Linked DNA regions of Coturnix japonica. The protein of the gene in region 2 interacts with the protein of the main gene of each other region in a biochemical or structural test. Links are inferred from orthologs where the notes say so. Each region holds a gene or a part of one and is shown on either strand. Other genes may lie near its edges.

Region 1 (4,542 bases), on a different chromosome or scaffold from region 2:
GCCTGGACACCTACCTGTGTGATGTGGTGTAGGAAACCTGCTTTGGCAGGGGGGTTGGACTCGATGATCTCTAGAGGTCCCTTCCAACCCCTACAATGCTGTGATTCTGACACAGTTTCAAAGCTTTCTTCCTAGGATGCCTGCATTTCTTTGATCTGATCACAGAAATTCTGGTGAATACCTAAAACCAAAGTCTAATTCACCATGAGCATTATATCGTTATATAAAATTATGGCAGCTTAAAACAAGACTGAAATGTCTTCTAAGTACCAACGGACCGTGCTTATTAGAAATACCAATGACGATGCCATAACAGTATGCTCACAGACTCGCATATTAAATGTTAGCACCGATTAATTCAATAACACCGAATGGAAAAATCACTTAGAATTACACGCAGCAGCTTCCTTTGTTTGTTAAATGTTCTTCGCTGGAAGAATTCCAATTTCAAGGCCAGGTTGGACGGGGCCCTGGGCAACCTGATCTAGTAAATGTGTATGTTTGGTGGCCCTGCCAGGCAGGGGGGTTGGAACTACATGATCCTTGAGGTCCCTTCCAACCCGGGTCATTGTGTGATTCTGTAATTCAGAGCCTTCATATCTTGTTCACCAGTATAAGGGTCCAAATTGGGCAGCTTGCATCTTTACAGCACACAGGTCTAGGTTTCCCACTTACTCAGAACAACAGTTCCTAAGGAATTTCTTTTCCATTTATCTAGATTTTTAATATAGCGTAAGCAAATGCCTAAAATTCAAGGAAAAAAGTCATTATTTCAGAACGTTATACAAATAGCAGGATATAAACAAACATAAGGAGCTCCGTAAATTTGTCTCATCAAGAGACGAGAGGACACAATTTAAAGCATGATCTTACAGCAACTACATCTCAAACGGAAGCAATTACAACATCAGCCCTACGATAGCCATGTTTACAGGAAGGGAACAACCTCCACACAACCCGCTATGGAGCCAATATTTGTCATTCCTGCCTCCTAAACAGCCTCACTTTTTATAATCACTATTTCTCTTTTTAAAAGGGATCAAAAGGAAACAAGGGTGATGCAAGCTACAGAAGGTCATTTTATAGGCCAAATACAACAGCACAGCCATACTGAGGCCCATAGACCGTCTCCCTCCTTCATGTTTCAGAACTGTAACTTCCCTATATTGTTTTTCTCCCTTTATAACTCCCTTTCTCGCTTTATCACAGAATTATCAAGGTTGGAAAAGACCTAGAAGATCATCTAGTCCAACCATAACCAATACTTCCCGGCTAAATCATATTCATCAACACAACATCCAGACACTCCTTGAACACCCCCATGGTCAAAGACTCCACCACCTCCCTGGGCAGTGCATTCCAATGCCTGACTACCCTTTCTGAGGAGTAATACTTCCTAATGTCCAGCCCGAATCTTATAAAAGGTTCTGCTTCATGAATGACTGCCTCAATTCTGCACTTGAGGTCGCGAAGTTTAACCATAAAAAAAAAAGCATGACAAAAACGCATCTGCCAGATTAAGCTGATAAATCAAAGACGCATCAGACTATCTGTCTAAAGTACTGCTAAATCAAGAACGTTCTGTACAGTATGTTCAAGTGCGTTCGAGTTCTTGATCCCGTTTCATCTCAATAACTCAGAGAGACACACAGTTATTTTTATGGCGCTCAACATCACCGGTAGAATTTTTACCCCGTAAGGTTCACCGTTCTGACATTTTAACTCTCACTAATACTAAAGCCAGGCTATCAGGACAATTAATCTGATTATTTCTACACTCCAGGGTTGTCCAATTAGCAGCGACAAAAAAAAAAAAAATTACCAGAATGAAAACAAGAAAAGAAACAGCAACTGGAGATAGAAAACAGAAGCATTCAACCACCTACATTTAAATGCAATGTGAAAAGAAATAAGGTAAAGCAGAGCAGTTACAGGTGAGGTAAGAATAGACAGAGGCTACAGCCACCAAACCCAGTGATCCTTTGTCCTGGGCACGTCACAGTAAATCCCCATCCACTCCAAACAGCACACAGTGAAAGCGAGCCATTCTTGCAGAGCAATTTCTGCAACTACTATTTAAGACTCACTCCTTCGGAGCAGGTATGAATAAATAATTCAGCTGGAAAGACCTGTCAAGCAGCAGGGTGTTTCACAGCACCGTACCTCCAGCGGCCCCATCCATCCACCCCAGCCAAACCAGCTGCCCGCAGGACTGAAGCTGCATCACGATCTCGTTTTACACAGAGAGGGGACAACGGGGCCACGCGGGTCCGAGCGCTGTCGCAGCCCCCCCGTCGGCGACAATCACAGCCCCACACAGACGGATCCCCTGCCCACGTCCTTATCACCGACCTAACGGGGTCTCGAAGGGCTGCCCCTGCGTCCCCCCCACCCCCAGCAAACCCCTCGGCTTCCCCAAACCCCACCAAGGGACAGAGACGATACCGGGGCCTCCCCTCCACCCCCCTCACCTCACCTCACCTCCGAGGACTTTCCGGGTCGGGGCCATCCCCGCTGGGCCTCCCTTCCCGGAGCAGCTCGCTCCCCACAGGGCCGCTGTCTTCCCGCCTCCCCTCTCCACAGCCGGGCCCCGGCCTCACACCTCAGCTCGCCCCTCCGCCGGACCCCTCTCGCTCCCTCCATACGGAACCGCCGGACTCCCCTCAACCACCCGCACCGCTCCCTCAGAGAACTCCCGCCGCTCGGGCGACGTCTCGCTCCGGCTCCCGGCCCCGCAGCCGGCCCCGCCGCAGGCTGCTCACCTGCATGGACGCCATGATAGATCCTCCCCCTCCCGCCGCGCCGCCAGCCCGCACCCTCACACACGCAGCACCGCGCGCCCGTCTCCCTCCCCGCCGCGCATGCGCCGGGAAGAGGCGGGGCGGGCGGGCGCCGGAGCTCTGTGGCAAGGAGGGCGGGCGGGTTTTGTCCTTGGTGTCGCTGCCCTCGATGTGTGGGAGGGGTGAAGAGCCGGCGCGGGCCGATGGCCGCCTCCGGTTGCAGCCGGCGGAGGGGCTGCCCGGCTGGGTGCCGTGAGGCGGCCGCGCGTGCGGAGGCCGTTGGGAAACGCCGGCTGAGCAGGGGAGCGGGGACCCCCCCCTGAGGGGGGGTTGGCTGCTCACAGCCGGCCTTGCTGGATGTAACACGGACATTATGAGCCCCCTCACGCCTGTACTTGATGGTGATCACAGAATCACAGAATGAGCCGGGTTGGAAGGGACCTCAAGGATCATGTAGTTCCAACCCCCCTGCCTGGCAGGGCCACCAAACATACACCTTTACTAGATCAGGTTGCCCAGGGCCCCGTCCAACCTGGTCTTGAACACCTCCAAGGACGGGGCATCCACAACCTCCTTGGGCAGCCTGTTCCAGGGCCTAACCACTCTCCTAGTGAAGAACTTCCCCCTAACATCCAACCTAAATCTTCCCTCTTTTAACTTAAAACCATTTCCCCGTGTCCTGCTATTGTCAGCCCTTTCAAAGAGTTTACTCCCCTCCTGGGTGTAAGTTCCCTTCAGGTATTGAAAGGCTGCAAAGACCCCTCTTGGATCACCCCTCCACCACAGGCAGCACCTGCTTTTCCTTTTGGAGGTGGCCTAATGGGTGCGGCTCAGGGGAGACCTTATTGCTCTCTATAATTTCCTGAAGGGAGGTTGTAGTGAGCTGGGGGTTGGCCTCTTCTCTCGTGTAATCAATGACAGAATAGAGGGAATGGTTTTAAGCTGCGCCAGGGGAGATTGAGGCTGGACATTAGGAAGTATTACTGCTCAGAAAGGGTAGTCAGGCATTGGAATGCACTGCCCAGGGAGGTGGTGGAGTCACTGACCATGGGAGTGTTCAAGAAACGCTTGGATGTGGTGCTGAGGAATATGATTTAGCCAGGAAGTATTGGTAATGGTTGGACTGGATGATCTGCCAGGTCTTTTCCAACCTTGATAATTCTGTGATTCTGTAAATGGCTGAACAATAGTTCTGTTTATATTTACCTTTGCAATCTGCCACCTTAAGGTTAGGACTAAAGATGGGTCTGAGACATCTGAGAGCCTGCTTACTTTCTGTATTCACATTATTTGATGTGATGCAAGGTATTGCTTCCACCTTTAAGTGTTACCTTCCAGTATATTTTTATGTATTTTCAACTTTGAGAACGGCTATGTGGAGAAAAACAAAAGCTCAGCACAATGTGGCATCAGATTCCAAACTGTTTCAGTGTCAGCAGTGTTACTGTTGGTAAAGCAAGCGTACAAACTCCAGAGCTCTGAATAAAAGGACCAACAGAAGGCAGGGAGTATCATTGCTCCATGAGCTAGATGCAGAAAGGAACGAGCCTATAGGCTTCAGAGGAATTTGCTGATGACAGAAATGAATGTATGTCGATTTGAGTAGGAAATGAAACCATCCCAATGGAAATAGGGATGGAAGAAAGAACTATTGCCATGTCAGCTGAATCCTATACGTTTTGCCCTCTAAATCCAACCTCAATTCTCGGTCATACGTGATAGACACCTGAAGCCCTGTAAGCTGGCACTGCTCTACTGCCTT
Region 2 (3,811 bases):
CCCCTACGCTTTTGGCATTCGTCGCTCTCCCTTCCCCATCCCCTCAGCTGTCTATCATTTCCAATAAACTGGTCGGATCAACATTTGAATGCTCTTCTTCTTAATCTCACGCTGGGCATAACATATCAAAAGAACCTTTGCCTCACTCCTAAATTGGAGCGAGACAACAGCTTATTAACACACCTCGGGTATTGTAATCAGAATAAGGTCTGAAAGGTGCAAAGGATTAGTTTTGTTATACCTTGTCTACAATTAGACCTGAGGCAGAAAACACCCAACTTGTTAGCACTGATCAGTGCTACATTTGAGGAGTGTCAGACTACATAATGAAAGCAGCACGACCTTTGATATCTTTCTACCTCATTTCCTTCAGTGCAACACAGGTTAATAAGGCCTTTGAACAAGGTCTTACTCAAAGCAGATATTCCACTGCTACAAAGGCTAACCCAAGTGACTGATGACTTCATGCTTATGGAACTTCTGCACTGGAGAAGAAAAATGTATTCTAAGAACATCCAGTGGCTTTTATTTCAGATACTTCACATCAGCTTTCACAGAGACTCTGAAATATAGATTGAATCCATTCCCTGAGGTGCTGGCCAGGTACTACAGCACTGCTCTCTGTCTTTCCATGAAAGCAGTTTCAACCCATGCTGCTTATGTTTGTTGGGAAAGGAAAAGTTCAGGACAATTCCTTGATGCTTGTAAAATGGAAACTCACCTTCAACGATCTTCAACGATGAACCAACACATACAGCATGGGAGGGAAAAGAAAAATAAAGTTAAACTGTAGCATGCACTGAAGTTTTATGTACAAGCACCCGAATAGCTATGAAACCAACAACAAGGCAAAGTAAGAATTTTAGGATACCACAATGTCATCTTGATTAACAAAATGTTAAAATAGTTTCAGAGAAGTGACTCGTTTATTAAGCGATTACTTTGGGTTTTGCTGCTAAGGGAAGGAAATGGAGGCAGCTTAGGAGCCATCTTAATCTCCTCTCTGCTCCCCAGTTTCAGTACCCCAACTTGATTGAGGCTGAAAAACAGAAAACCAACCCGCTGTTACATTCAGCGGAACCAAAGCCAGGGCAACGCAAACCATGCTATAAGGATTGCAGCATTCCCCTTGTACTGGCTCAGCAACAAACTGTTATTCCCGCTGCTTGTTTTTGGCTCTACAAGGCAGCAGTGGCATCCCCAAACCAGCGTTATTAACTACACTGCAGACTGGATCAAATACTGCTCAAGCTTTAATAACAACAGTAACAAAAAAGTGAATTTTCAAAGACTTGCTATAAGTTTAACTAGCTCCTAGTTGCTCAGGCAACTTGTAGATGCCTGAACACTTCCTATTTGTCATGCTGAAGACTTACTGCTACTTCTTTGATTTTCTGTTTAAATCATCAGCCTTTTTCTTTGAAATATTCAACACACCTTCAGCTTTAAATGGCATTTACTTACATGACCCATGATGGGTAATATAACCCCAAGACTGGGAGCAACAAGCTACAACAGACTGTGCTCATCACCTGCAGGTGGTAGTCACAGATGCAGATACATTAATAGGTCTATCTGGGATTGGATGTGAGCTGTGAAATGCTAAATAAGAGCCACACTTTAACCCTTTAACATAGGCTACCTACTGAGATGCCAGAAGACAAACTAAGAAGCCTTTCTTCTGAAAATCTAAGGCTCTGGTAAGCTATGACCCGAGGCCCAGTGTTGTACAGAGTAAATTTACTTCTGCAGGGAGTGTATCCATTTGCTTGTATTGCACAGATCTCTTAATGTAGGTCAATACACATTTCAAAGGAATGCATGTACTGAAAAGCCAACTTTCAGCTCATCCTTAGACTCTATCAGCAGCAAGAACACAGAACTCATTTGACTACAGCATTTAGATAAGCATGTCACTACTTACCACAACAGAATCATTGTGAGTTAGATCAACTACTACAGGATCAGAAGATTCACACGTGAGATCTACTACTTCTTCACCAGCTTAAAAACATAATGTTAGAACACAAATCAGAGCTCACAGGAGTAAAGTTACCCATCAGTGTATAACAGTGTATAACAGGCTGAGGTATCATACAACACTGCCCATCCCTCTTCTCTTTGGTAACATACTCAACTTTTCATTCAAGCTTTGCTGTCAGCGGTCTATATATACAGTATTAACAGCTTCTGCAAGTTGCAGTGCACAACTAACTGACCTCATGTGCTTTCTGATATATCAGTATCTTGTGAGAGGTGCACAGCAACACATTCATCTAATATAGGAGAACGTTTATCACGCTTTAAAACATGAATCAAACAGGATATTTCTTTTCCAGTCCTGCGCTGTAAGTGTTCCAGTATCACATCTCATCTAACTTTCAAAAGCCAAATACATAGCAAAACCACAAGAAGCCATTTATTTACTTGCAAGTTTCCAAATTTAGTTTGCTGTTATCTGAAGTGGCAGCTGCAGTAACCCCGAGTGCATCGGACCAGATAACTGGATGTGCGAGCAACACACATGCACCTTTCTTACCTAATTCACCTATTAGCAATTGCACCCCAGTAACAATCTTAAACAGCTGTCGGTAGGCTTGCTGCTGTTCACTGCTTCCATACTATGTCCTTTGTTAAATAAGTAGCTTTCCACTCCCCTTCAAAGGACCTTGAAACTGGCCAAAACCACATTATGTGGATTCCCAGCACTCCAGGAGAAGCCTGTTTTCTTATATAGTTCAAAAGAAAGCTTACCACTTTCTTCCAGTTCTATTGGCTCTCCTTCTGAAGCCATCTCTGTGGTAGAAGCTATCAGTCTGCTTCGTTTCTGAGCTTGCCTAGAGTTAGCTGATCCTCCACGGCGCTTTCTTGGAGTCTAAGAGAGAAGAAAGCCTTAGTACGTTCTTTAGGAGTAATACTAATGCAGCCCCCACCTTTCCAACATCAAGGTAAACAAAACACACCGCTAGAAGCCTGTAGCATAAATATAACAGCGGTAAATGACTCCTATCTGAACTGATCTCATCAAGGAGCAGACTCCATGCCAGGTCTCCCACCAGCTGAATCACAAAAGAAAAAGCCACACTACATTCTGAAGGTCTACATGGGAAGATGAGCTCACAATGACACCAGGTATTAACTTCCAGCCAATCAATGCCATCAGTTTTCACTCATGCTCTGAGTTATTTCTGAAACGCTGCTATAGCACCTACAGATGAGAAACTTCTGAGTATCACAGAACATGAAGTTAAATGGCAAATTAGTGCTGCAGCGTATTTACAGTAAACTGTTACCAAGATTTATATAAATATGATAAATATATTTTAAGAATCACTTTTGCATTGATCAGTAAAATACTTACTGTACTCATGGTGTTTCTTGATACAGAGTTACAGAAAAAATAAGAGGTATAAATACCATAAAATTAAACGCAAGGAAGCTACAATTCTCAATTCCTTATATTTCTTTAGGCAGTACACTGTTAAAAAGTCCAGATTTCTCAGTATCTTAGAATGACGTTCTTCCAAACCTATAAGAAAAGAAGAGAGAAGATTACCTATCTGTAATTCTTGTTCTCTCACACACACCCGAACTTAAGGATGTCGGTTCTGAGCCACGAGCTTCTGACCAGAGCTGGAATGGAAGTCCCACAAGTTTAGTATCAGAGCTACAGACCCCTCAAGCAGGGCCTGAAGCCTCACTAAGGCTCACTTGTTTCTTAGTTAAACTTACTCTGGCGTTTAGCAGCAAATCAGAAAGATATAAGGAGTCCCAATTAAGCTTTATCTGAAAAAACAACCTATTATTTGAA

The links.
Region 1: the proteins of RNF4 (region 2) and UBE2W form a complex in vitro, tested with the Homo sapiens proteins (2 studies listed by BioGRID). The link is inferred for Coturnix japonica from reciprocal best matches to the Homo sapiens genes RNF4 and UBE2W.

What each region holds. Positions count from the first base shown.
Region 1 is NC_029517.1:106,949,461-106,954,002, forward strand, and holds the start of UBE2W (ubiquitin-conjugating enzyme E2 W), read right to left. Parts: upstream 2,881-4,542; 5' UTR 2,778-2,880; coding exon 2,763-2,777; intron 1-2,762. UniProt on the Homo sapiens protein: Accepts ubiquitin from the E1 complex and catalyzes its covalent attachment to other proteins.
Region 2 is NC_029519.1:74,944,714-74,948,524, forward strand, and holds part of RNF4 (E3 ubiquitin-protein ligase RNF4), read right to left. Parts: intron 3,634-3,811; exon of another isoform or gene 3,557-3,633; intron 3,530-3,556; 5' UTR 3,421-3,529; coding exon of another isoform or gene 3,418-3,420; 5' UTR 3,371-3,417; coding exon 3,362-3,370; intron 2,876-3,361; coding exon 2,755-2,875; intron 2,005-2,754; coding exon 1,925-2,004; intron 732-1,924; coding exon 722-731; intron 1-721. UniProt on the Homo sapiens protein: E3 ubiquitin-protein ligase which binds polysumoylated chains covalently attached to proteins and mediates 'Lys-6'-, 'Lys-11'-, 'Lys-48'- and 'Lys-63'-linked polyubiquitination of those substrates and their subsequent targeting to the proteasome for degradation.